Drosophila melanogaster: one gene and its partner. The protein of the gene in region 1 interacts with the protein of each later gene in a pairwise test. Each region holds a gene or a part of one and is shown on either strand. Other genes may lie near its edges.

Evidence for each region.
Region 2: the proteins of CG6304 (region 1) and eIF4E7 interact in a two-hybrid assay, tested with the Drosophila melanogaster proteins (one large-scale study listed by BioGRID).

What each region holds. Positions count from the first base shown.
Region 1 is NT_033779.5:17,010,804-17,016,503, reverse strand, and holds CG6304 (uncharacterized protein), read left to right. Parts: upstream 1-1,803; 5' UTR 1,804-1,897; intron 1,898-3,369; exon of another isoform or gene 3,370-3,404; 5' UTR 3,405-3,568; coding exon 3,569-3,830; intron 3,831-3,891; coding exon 3,892-4,898; 3' UTR 4,899-5,028; downstream 5,029-5,700.
Region 2 is NC_004354.4:1,158,048-1,164,514, forward strand, and holds eIF4E7 (eukaryotic translation initiation factor 4E7), read right to left. Parts: upstream 4,343-6,467; 5' UTR 4,239-4,342; intron 2,086-4,238; 5' UTR 2,059-2,085; coding exon 769-2,058; 3' UTR 552-768; downstream 1-551.

The DNA of each region.
Region 1 (5,700 bases):
AGTCAAAACAAACTAACCTGAGCAGCACACGGTGATACGAGGACTGTCAGACCTGGAACAAATATTCACTTCACTATGCACTTGAAGAATAAGAGGCGAAGTTATGCATGCTAAATCAAGCGAAATCTTTCTTTAAATTTGTTTGTTAATACCAAAATGCAGACATACTAAAGTGCTGAAATCTAAATGCCTATCATGGTTTTTCAATCCTATCATTTGACTTGCCATTTGTAAATCACGGAATTGTATATTGAAGCCTTGCATATGTTTTGCACAGTGCTGCAATGTCTGGTTGACTTCATTGAGGTTGAGGGGCAGGTGATGTTGATGCCACGTCTCGGTTAACTCGTTGTTCCGTTGACCTGCCCCTGTTGAAATTGCCTGTACGGATAGTTTGTGGTCTAGTCTTGTAATTAAGTCGAAGTTTCCCGTTTTAATGCATACTACTTTTAACCGTGCTGCTGGCCTGGCTAAATGACAAATCGTTGCGGGCGAGAAACTTTAGGTGCTGCGTGTGCAGGGGATTCATAAAAAAAAGATGACCAAATCCTTTGATTTGTGTGCGTGCCAATGCCAAATTGCTTAATCTCCCTTCGCACGAACACTTGACCCAATTTTTAATCACTTTCCAAGCACACATGCTCTCTTTTTGTCCGTCCCGGCATAAATTTGTGTCTTAAAACTTTCCACCTGGCCAAGGCAAAAGTTTGGCTTGCACGTTTTAAGCTGCCCCTGCAGAGTAACCGTCCGAAACAAGCTTAAAAATTGTGAATAAACCCAAACTGGCATAAACCGCACTTATTCCCAACTCCAAATTCGAGATGGAATATTAAGGCGAATTATTTGCTCTTAATTTGAAACGAAAAAATGATTTTCAAGATTTTTTTAAGCTTTTTTTTAGATCAAACTAAAACAAATAATGATTAAAAGTATCTAGAAAAGTTTTTCTTATTTAACTTATAATAATTATAATTCTTATAACACTGTTAAAATCTTTCATTCTTCTAATTAGTTTATTAAAGTGTAATTATTTTTTTTGCAGACGACCATCTCTAGTAGCATTTCGGATTTCCGCAATATGTGCTACAAAATATTCTAAACACACATTTGTCCAGCTCGAAAGGGAAACAAGGAGGCCAGGCCAATTGTGTGTGAGCTCTGTTCTCGGACTTTTTTGCTGTGTGGGGTGGGGGCGCAAAAGTTTCTAACAATAATAAGCAAATGCCCAAAAGTGAGCAGTGGGATCCAGTTGTTTTTGTCTCCACTGCTACAATTGCCAGCACTAAAAGTCCCCTTCAAAATGTATATACACGTATCCCTCTACCGTTGTATTTGCTGCAAATACAATTAAATATGGCAAAAGTTGTGCGTACACACACGTCGGCCATTTTATTTAGATTGCAGGAGGGCTAAAACAGAGGCGGTAACAGGAACAGAAGCAACGACAACGACAACATTGAGGTCGTCGTCGTGGGGCCCTCAAAAGTATTTGGCTAACTGAAAGAAAATATTTAAAAAACAAGAAATACTGTGTAATATGCGATATTGCCACGAAAATGGGTAATTTATTTACAGGATATTCAAAATGTAAGGTCTAGTTAATGCCGAAATTTCATAGCTTGAAGTGTGTGTGTTAAATATTTATTTGTCTTCGATTTACCTTAAATAGTGTATTAAAAGCTTAAGGGTAAGTATTTAGAATATGCTTAGGTATAATTTGTGAGCTTATAAGGAAATTGCCAAGCACTTCATTCAAAGGAAATTAGTTACGAGTAGGCCCAGACAAATCCTTCAAAACGGTTTATGTTGAGAAATTTCTTTGCTCAAAGTCTGTGTGTTAAATATTTATCTTCGCATGCTACGAATTTGTCTTAAATAGTGCATTAAAAGCTTTATGGTGAGTATTTAGAATACGCTTAGTTGTACTGTATTGAAAAGTACAAAAATCGGATTCGTTTTGCAGTGCACGTGTGCGTTGCTTTTTCTGCTAACAAGGCCAACACGTGTTTTTGTGTTGTGAGGCTCGGTCCGCAGAAAGCACAGCAATTCTGTTAACAATTTTATTATTAAAATGATGTCAGTGCCTCGGTTCGCTTGCCGCCCTCTTCCTGTGGCTCGGCAATTGACCACAAATGCATTAGTGGTGCGGATGCCCCAACTTTCACCTACATACTTCCCAAGGCGAATTACACAAAAATTTGCAGAGCTCCATGCCATGCATAGATAAATAGGAGAATGTGTGGACGCCAATCTCTGTGGTAATCCCCAGATGACCTACAAGTTGTCGGACACTGTTGTATTTTCGGTATTTTTGTACGGCTTATTTTCGGTGGGCTAATTGATTTAAACAATTTATCATACTTTTATCCTTTTTTTTTGCTGCATTACTTAATTTTTTAATAACATGATGTTTAATGTAGCTCGCTAAAGGCGATAGATTTTACAAGAGAAATAAATTAATTAAATAGAATAGACTGAATGCAAGTGACACTTTTTTCTTCAAAGAGCTACATCACTTGTTATTTACCCCCTACACTCATCGAAGCTTGCTATATTTCCATTTTTATGCGATTTGCACCCTTGTCTGGATTTGCTCAGCTTTAGGCTATCGAAAACGCAAGTGGATAACTCCCTCCGCTCCTTTTAGCCCCGCCAAACAACCTGATTATATAGCCAACCGTTCACAGCTCCTGAGCAGTTATTACGTTTTACTTATTGCATTTTTCAGCTCTTTGCATTTTCGCTCAAGCTTGCAAAACGATACACGAGCGGGAATGGAAATGGAATAGAAATAGGATGGGATGGGATGGGTCGGGTTGGGTTGGTAACGAGGATTCAAGGAGCCCCAGCATGTGGCTCACATGACATCTGGCCAAGGGGGTGATCACTGCTGTTGCCGAGAGGGGGTAGGTGGGGGGTCCACCAAGGACGAACTCCTGCGGAGCTAAGCTCACTGCACTTGGCCATTGTTTGTTTGTTTTTACAACTCTGATTGAGGTGAAATTGCATATTTCTGTGCGCTTCTTTCATTTCATTTTATTTCTCCGTCTGCAGCTCCTCCTCACTATTTCTGTAATATTTTCAAACGTTTTATTGAATGTCGCTTACCGACAGCACTGTTTGCCATTCCTGGCTTTTCCTTTTGCCAGGTACCCATTTTTAGATTCATCTCCACATTTCCTCGTTCCATGCACCTATTTTACCAGTGTTTTCCCCGCCTGCATTGGCTTTGTGTTTATTGTGCGAATAAATGTCAACAATGGAGAAATGTACGTGGATTGCCGACCGATTTAGAATCTCCACCTTCTCGATCGGAATTCTTTTGGCGAGTTTATAAAGATTGCCAAGCACTTTAATCCAAAAAATAAATATCAAATAATCACATATCATTCAATTTGTAATAGGGTGAAACGTCTGAGAACTCAGAATCCAGTGGGCCTAGACAAATTGTTCCAAACACTTTATGTCGAGAAGGTCTAATCGTACTCATAAATATACAGGTACTGGTCTGAAACATTTATTACAAAAAATTCAAAAAACAAAAATATAGCGAAGAAGGATAAAGACCATGTACAACAATATTAAGGGCCTACACATAAATGAATACCAGAGGGAGAATGGAGATAATACCAGAAAGCTGGCGTGTGAAGGTACAGTGAAGCTAAACGCCAATGCCCAAGAATTTGTGCCACGTTACAAGAGGGAACAACCAGCAAAAGATGATGCTATAGTTGGTAACAGTAACATGAGCAACACCAATAACGACGACCAAAAACCAAAATCTAACCTTATGTTGCCGTGGAAAGGATTTCCGAATAAATCTCAAAAACGTAAAGTTCTGCAAATAGAGGTCGCAAGAACATTGCTTATATATTTTATCTCCTGTTTCAGCTTCTCGCAATGTGGACTACATAGTTCTACCGAGCACCAAAAGATTTAAAAAGCCCATTGGCCAACAACTCGTGGAAAATGTTTCCACTACGCCCTCAAAAGTCCATTTAAATGATCCTGTTCCAGCTGGAAATCGCATTGATCACGAGGAAAGGCGCCGCGAACACGATAGAAAAATCGCTGTGGAAGCCTTAAAGTTGGCCGAACAGCGTAGAATGAGGGATCCTGTCATTGCCCCCACGGAGGGCAATGAAAACTCAAAGAACGTGCCGCCAATTATAAATATCTCACGATCTCCAATAAAGTTCACGCCAAATGAAAGGATCAGAGTGGACCGTTTAAGGGCAGCGAAGAGAGAGCGTATCGAGCGTATCCTTCGCGAAATGACAAACAGCAAGCAGTCGCAAGTGAAGAAAGAGCAGCTCAAGGAGGAGAAGATTTGTTTTGATAATGCACCCAATGAATCTAATAAGCCTAATGAACCTGCTAAACCTATGCCTCAGCATCCGGAGAAGACAAATGAAGTGCCCATAGTTACCAAAAAGAGGTACATACCAACCACCAAGGAATGGGACGAGCGATGTCGTGCCAAACATTTGGCTAAGATGGAAGCTGAAAAGAAAAATCAGATGGGTGTTCAGGATGCGAACCCTTCGCAATCTGCTGTGCCACCAAAACCATTGGTGACCTCCAATGTGGTGAACATATCTCCGTCGGGAGTTATTCGTCTGTGCGATCGCTTTAGTCCACCTGCTAAACAATGCGATACGGAGAAGCGCAGGGGAAATCTCACACACTTCCGACCCCTTCAAAACTGGACAATCCGTCGAAATCCGCCGGTACCATTGAACAACCTGTGCAATAAAAATGGAAAGATCGTGCAGCGCTATAGCATCGACCAACTGCTGGTTTTGGAGCCTCAACCTGAAGAACTGAAAGTGCCTCAATTGGATAAGGCCCTGTTAGGCTTGGGATTTCTGTACGATTCATTTGAGGGCTCTCCATAAATGTATTCGAATTTAATCTGAACTTATTGATTAAAAAACATTTTATCATTTTCCAATCACTTCCCTTGAATGTCTGAAATAAAGAAAAGACTGCAATGCGTATTTCAAGTTTGCAAAGCTAACTTTTGGTAAAATCTGTAAGATTTCTACTTTTATTACTGATGGCTATTACTGCACAAACGCGTTGGCATTTTTCAGCCTTTTGCACTTTGACCGTCGTAATTGAGAACTGAAATTTGCCATGTTATTGGTGTTGCTGTCAACTGCAACGGTCAGGTGCAATAATTTTAATGCCATTATTCTGCTTATTATTATCTTGCCTACTGTGCGCAGCTCGCTGCCTGTGCGCATATATTAAATTTCACTGAAAATTTGTTTTAATTTCATTAAACGGGAGAGGGAGCAATTTACACATCAGTAAAGAGTCCGCCGGTGCACTGAAATAAATTTTCCAGGACGAATCCCCTGCGGGCTCATGTAACCGAGGCCGAAGCGCAAAAATATTGACATGTGGCTATGGCAACGATTGCTGCTGGGTTTTCGCGGGGGGGGGGGGAGGTCGTAGGTCATGGGAATGGCCGCGAAATGGGGTGATGCGTAAAGGAGGGCGAGGGGGTCCAGTGGCAGTATCATATAACGCACAGACATTGCCCTTGTCATTTTTGCAGTTGTTGTGGCTCGGCCAGCACTGCGCAAATAAAGCGGAAAATTGTGTTTTTTTTCCCGACTTGTTTTCTGCGTGTTCGAAATAAAAAAACAATGAGTAAAACACAAAAAGTAGAACCAATCAAATGCATTTCAC
Region 2 (6,467 bases), on another chromosome or scaffold:
AAGCTCAGGAAGAAATTAGAAGGTAGGAAAATGGTCACAGCAAGGCACAGAAAATACATTAAGCACATTAAAGCCCGTCAAATGGAAAAGTGGCCAAGAACAGCAACAAAAGGAATTCAGTGCCAGGAGAACGCACCTGCCTCCACTCCAACATCATTGGCTCCCCTTACGTGGTCACCCAAAGCAGTCACAATAAAATGCCAACTGCCAATAAATGCCAATAAATCAAACAATTGAGCACGGCCAAGTTGTGTGACGCCGTGCGCCAAATAAGTCCAACGGCCAATGTCCAATGTCCAAATGTCCCATGTCCGCTGACCGATGTGAAAGCGAACAAAAAGCTAGCAACCAACTTCTGAATGCCCGCCCCAATGGTTAGCAGTGGAGCAGACAAAGAACATCCAATACACCGATTGGAACTCAGGAATCGAGACAAACCATGTTGCATGTTCTTGGAATCGGGTTAAATTAGTAAAGAAGGTGCATAGTTAGAAACATTTCGCAGTCTCTCTCCAACACTCTCCAATTTCACACTTTAAAACAAACAACTTCTTGACCAAATAGTTATGTATTTATTTCGTCGCTCTATAGGAGCAACATTCAAATTTTTATGTACAACGTGTACGTGTACGGATGGTTTGACTAGAGATTTGGAACCCAACTAACTATCGATCGATGGCTGATCACACCTGCTTGACATTTCAAGTTCTTGTGAAAAAATACCGAAAATACTGAAAATGTTTCGATTCGCAATTGTCTGATGAGAACCTATACAGTGTATATTCTCTTCACAGTTGATCCCAGTTTATCCTTGGAGTCCTTGTGCAACTGATACTCCAGCACGTATATGTTGTCCATGCGTAGAACCTTGCGTAAAATGCGTCCAATTTCAAGGACTGTAGTCTGATTTCCCCCGTCAGCGTTCCAAATAGAGATCTTGTTCGACTTTCCGCGAATATTGACCACAACGCCACAAAGATCGTCCGAGTGCTTACAGGCCTCTCCAATCAGACAGAGCATGGCGTCCATCCAGAAACTGTCCAGAGCCATCTTGGCGCTCTTGGTCAAGTTGATGACCCAGCGTCCTCCATTGACATTGGCCTCATCCTCCCACATGGGTCGAATGCCCTTCTTGAACAGGGAGTAGTCACTGCCCAGCATAAGCTCGGATGGGGGCTTGATGTGAGTGATCAGGCTCCAAAACTTCTCCACGGTATCGAAGCTTGTAACCTTGTGCAGCATTTCTTCCCAACTTTTATTTCGATCGTTCTCTAGATACCACAGAGTCCAGCAGTTGTTGAGTGGATGTTGAGGATCCTCGACCTCCAAAAGTTCGGCGTTCTCCGCCGCGATGGTCAGATCATCATCACATTTATTGTTCAGTGACAGAAATTCTAGTGAATTGTCAAAAGCGACCACCGCATCTTCTTTTTTGGCCGGTGGACATGTGTTCTGTTTAATCCTGGGCTCGAGCCTCAAGCTCAAAAGCTTCTGCTCGGATAACCGCATTAGGACCTTCTGCCCTAAAAGATTTTCTTGTGTGATTATCTTTCCCTGCATATTCTTTTCGATTAGCTTCTTGTCCTGCAGATCCTTGTCGAGCACATTCTTCCTATATTGTGCACTAGTCGACTGCTCCTGTTCAGGGCTATTTTCTTTCTGCTGGACCATCTGTTTTCCTTGGCCTTTACCCTTCTCATTGTCATCATTTCCCGTCGACTTTCCATCTTTGCCCGGATTGTTGCTTCGACTGCTCTTGCTCGTCTGACTGGGAGTGCGTGGCGCATTCTTTTGATTCTTCTTGCCCTTCCGGTTCCCCTTGCCACGTTTTTGGGGCTCTGATGGCGACGTTTTGTTTGGATCATTCATCGGTTCTTGGGTCTTTTCTGGTTGAGTATCTTCAGTGGATTGAGGAGCTGCAGCAGGCTGGGTAACATCAGTTGGTGACTCCACTTTTTGGGGACCTTGTGTGGGATATTCATTGTTGTTCGCACAGCTTTTAAACATTGTTCTCGGATTGGCAAAGTCCCTCATCCTGTAAAAGCTGTTGGGAAGCATGGCGGCTTTGTTCGAGGTCAGCAACGGCTGTAGAGTTATACGGAAATGGCGAGGTTAGCGCTATGTTTAAACAAACAAATCTAACAAAAAAAAGGGTTAATATAATGGCGATTTTTGGGATCTTTCATTTTCGTAGCTTCCTATACAATTATATATATGATGAATCCACAAAGCCAAGCCAAACGCTCTTTCTGAACTTCCGACTAATGAGGCAAACAAGCCAACATGCCCCTTTTCTCTAAGACGTGAGCTGGAAATTTCTTCTTTGGAAGCACGAAAGGAAAAACTGACCAAGACCAAGGGACGTGTGCAGAAGTTGGCAACTTTAGCAACAAATATTTACACACCCCCCGAACTGAATGATTTGAGTGGGTGCAAAACCCCAAACACACGGGTGTAAGGTAACACAGCACGCATTTCTTATTAGCTGGGTCAAGTTGTGCTTGCCCCTTGGAAATAACCGAGTAAAAGCGTTTTTCACACGCCAAAATCTCCGATAGAAAAGATTACGATGCCTTGGTATTTACGCATCTTTTAAAATCATTAAAAATTCTCTACATTTACGATATGCAGCGGACGAAGGAATCTTTATGTAATGGCATCACAAAAGTAAACCACCAGGAGAACAAACTTTGATTTGACTCTGGCTGCCATAAGTTAAAATGGGGTCAAAAGGACTCGAATTTATGAGTGAGAAAAAATCAATCAGAAATTGGAATCAGAAACAGAATCCAAGGCGTGGCAAATGTTTGAGCGGACTTGGACTTTGAGCGAGTGTTGTGCTTTCACGCTTTTGGCAAGCAGTTTATGGCCATTTTATTTGACCCGATTTTGTTTTAATGGAATATCTGTGCCTTAACCATGGACTTCATATGTACATTTGTATCACTTGGCATGGGCTAAGAACTGTACAGATATGGGAATCTCCTTTCACTTCTGCCATACAAATTAGGGAAACAACAAAGGCAACACATTGCAGGAGGTTTTCCTTCTTAAAAGCCGTTTAGGGATCTCATACCCGACATTTCCAAATGTTCCTCTTTTAACTTAAATGACATCAAAATGAAAAGCAGGGCCAAAACAGAAACAGAAACTACAAGACGTGCGGGTGCACTTAGCGAAAGTATTACAGAGATCAACTAAATTTTATCGCGACAGTAGTTTAGATTATAGCATGTAATGAACTGCTTTTGAATCTTTATGTCACTGTACTTTGGCGATCTAGATTCATTTCAATGAATAATTTACTTATGGGAGTAGTCGAAAGCCACAATAGAAGGCACCTTGGATTTCTCTCAGTTCCCGCAAAGCAGTTTCGCCCTTCTCAGTTCCTATCGATGCAATTTTTTATTTGGCCCGATGCGATGTAAATATTGCATTAGACGGGGCCAAAGTGTTGGGCAAATTTATTGGCAGCACATAAATCGAGGACTCGCCCTCAACGGGTCGGTTGTCGTCTGTTGAAAAAGTAAATGTTCTAAAGGTAAATATGCACACAGCGAGGAAGTGGCACTCATTCAGTTGAACGTTGGAAGTGGGAAGGAAGTTGAAGGAAGGTGGACTACTCTACATTGGCATCTGTGCTCGCCTTCTGTGACCTATGACCTGTGAGCCATCGTCGCTGGCTGAAATGCCGAAATGTTGAAATGTTCAAATGCCGGCTGCTGACTGCTAGCTGCCTCGAAAAACTGATGAAAATGCAAAAATGTTGTTCCCAGTCCTTGCCTTTCCCCTCGGCTGCTATGCCAATTTTAATTAACAAAAAACATGAGCAGCTCCCTGTTGCGTTGTGTGTGTTTTGTTTAGCTCTGTTTTGTTTTGTTTTGTTTAGTTTAGTTCAGCTCTGTTCTGTTTTGTTTTGTTTGGCTAGTTTGAACTTTGTTCCTCGTATTCTTGTATGCCGGTTGCACTAGACGGGTGATGGGGTTAAGCAGGGGTAGCTCCATCCCCACTACCGTCAATCCGCTCAATTGCTCTAGCCCAACTTTTTGCATACTTTCGGGGATTCCCAGTAATCGGCGGCAGCCAATGAAATCTAAGCTGACCGACAGACAAGACATACTACATACGACAAGGAACACACTACCTTATTTGTAAACGAAGATGACGAAGGAGGAGAAACCCAACGAACAGTTCTAATGCCATAATTAATCACTACGAATTGGGTCTACACAACTTACCTAACGCACTGCGAATATCCGAATACCGCTTAGGTCAATCAAAATATATCAACAAATAAATCGCAATGGTTTTGTAAATAAAATTTGACTAAAACCCGGTTGTTCTCACAACGAAGTGTCGTCCAAAACTGATTTATATTTCTAGACTTACTTTGCTCTGAAAAATGACTTTTGGTAACAAAAGTCCGGTCCCACTTCGGTACTATTCTGCATTTTTTCCCATCACTGGGATCGGATTCGCGAGTATATGGCCTAATCCGAACTCCACTAAGCGCTCCTGGATTACAGCTAAAGCATTTAATTAAAAAATTGCATTGCTTTTGTTTTTGCGCGCTGCCATAATTTGCATGCCAACAACACTATGGCCTGCCTGTTTGCTCATATCATTAATTCGCAATTTGGCCAAATAATAATGAATATTTTCATCTTGTGTCGCTTTTTGCCCTGTTCAGTTCAGTTCAGTTAGCTCTGAGCGTGTTTTTGTTCACATTTGTATATTTGTTCATGTCCGTTCAGACATTCGCATTCAAATGTTTTGCGTTTTGTGTTCTTGTGCAATGCAATTAATTAGAAGTGGATAAATGGTGCATGAGTGTGCGCAAATTAAATTAAATTCTATGTGCATTTTTGCATTTTGCCAGCGAATGAATCGCTCTGAAAAAGTCATTTGGAGTTGAAATGCAAACACGGCATTCTGAAATCATCAAGCATTATGAGAATGCATAAACTGAAATTGAACCATAAACGCATGCCCCCCGCAAGCGGATTGCGGGTATTATCATTATGAAATGCTAAATCGTGTAAAATATTTAAAGAGTCGTTAGCAGTTGCATTACGCAAAAAAGCAACACATCAAATACAAACATCCCAATGCATCAAAAAGGCAATCAGAGGGCGGTTGTGGCGTCGGTGAGTCCACCTCCAACCCGACCAACAGTTCGTGGCCGACTGAAGCAAACGACAAGGATTTCCCAGGACCTGCTCGATCGAGCAACAGAGGGACAGGCAACTTAACAGACAACCGTGGAAACTTAACAGCTGTTGTAGGCAACTCATAGACGGAATCATGAAGAATATTGTGCCAAAATACAGCATTTTCTTTTATTGCTTGCCCAAATAATCACATGATAAACCCACAAAGAAGCCAGATATCAGTAATTTAAATAACTTTGGCACAGCTTAAAAGCCATAAATACATGCATACAGCGTTACACGCACTTGCACTTGCGGTGCATATAATAAGCCTCAGTTTTTGGAAAATCCCTCGCCTTCACACATACCACGAACTTGGGATCTGTGGATGGGACTATTGCCATCAATAGCCTGGCAGAGGGCTATCAATGAAAATCAATGTTCATCATATCGGGGCCGCACTTCACTGAAGGCAATCGTCTGTTTTTTCTGGCCAGGAGCTCTTTCAGCGGAAACGAATGCATTTCCTCGCGGATCCATTCCAATCGCTGCTCCCAAGAAGGCACTAAAATGGTAGGTGGGCTCCTTAAATGTACATTCTGATATTGACACACTTTTAATACACTCTGACCCCAGCGAAAGCTTTTCCTAATTGGAAGTTTTTCTTACTTTGCCTCCGATCTACGAGTAGTTCATCAAATATATCCACATTCGACCGCCTCTGAAGCCGGGCAGCACCATCGTAGCTGTCCAAAAGGAGTCCCAAAAGGAGGAGTAACTTGATGAAAATTATCACGAACAAAACGCGGAACAGGCGTGTGTAGCTAGCCGACATATCGAATTTTGAATGATTCGGAACATACCGTCAAAAGCCAGAGTCACCGCGGCCTCGACATCTGTTCAAAACTGGTGGCGAAATGTTTTCTTTATCCGTCGACTTGGAGCTGTGACCTTATCGATGGAAACTTGTAAAGTCGTACTGGAAAAACACTAAAGCCCCAAACTGTGTTCTGTGTTCAGATAAACAAAAACACTAAAGAAGTTTGCTAATTATTGAGCTAAGGGACACATTCAACCTAAGCTGAAAAAATTACAAGTAGAAATTCACTATTTCTACGTATACCCAAGTTTAATAGGTAGAGCAACACATCGACCAGGAAATGCGTCCAAAAACAGGCGACAGGACCGGAAACCAAAAACGAAATGCAGACAGCAACTAAAACTCAAGCAGACACCAAAACCAGCCAAGCGGAATCAGGCGCAAGTTTTAAGAATAACAAACAAGAATAGGGCGACTCACGTGTGGCTTCGTTGCAA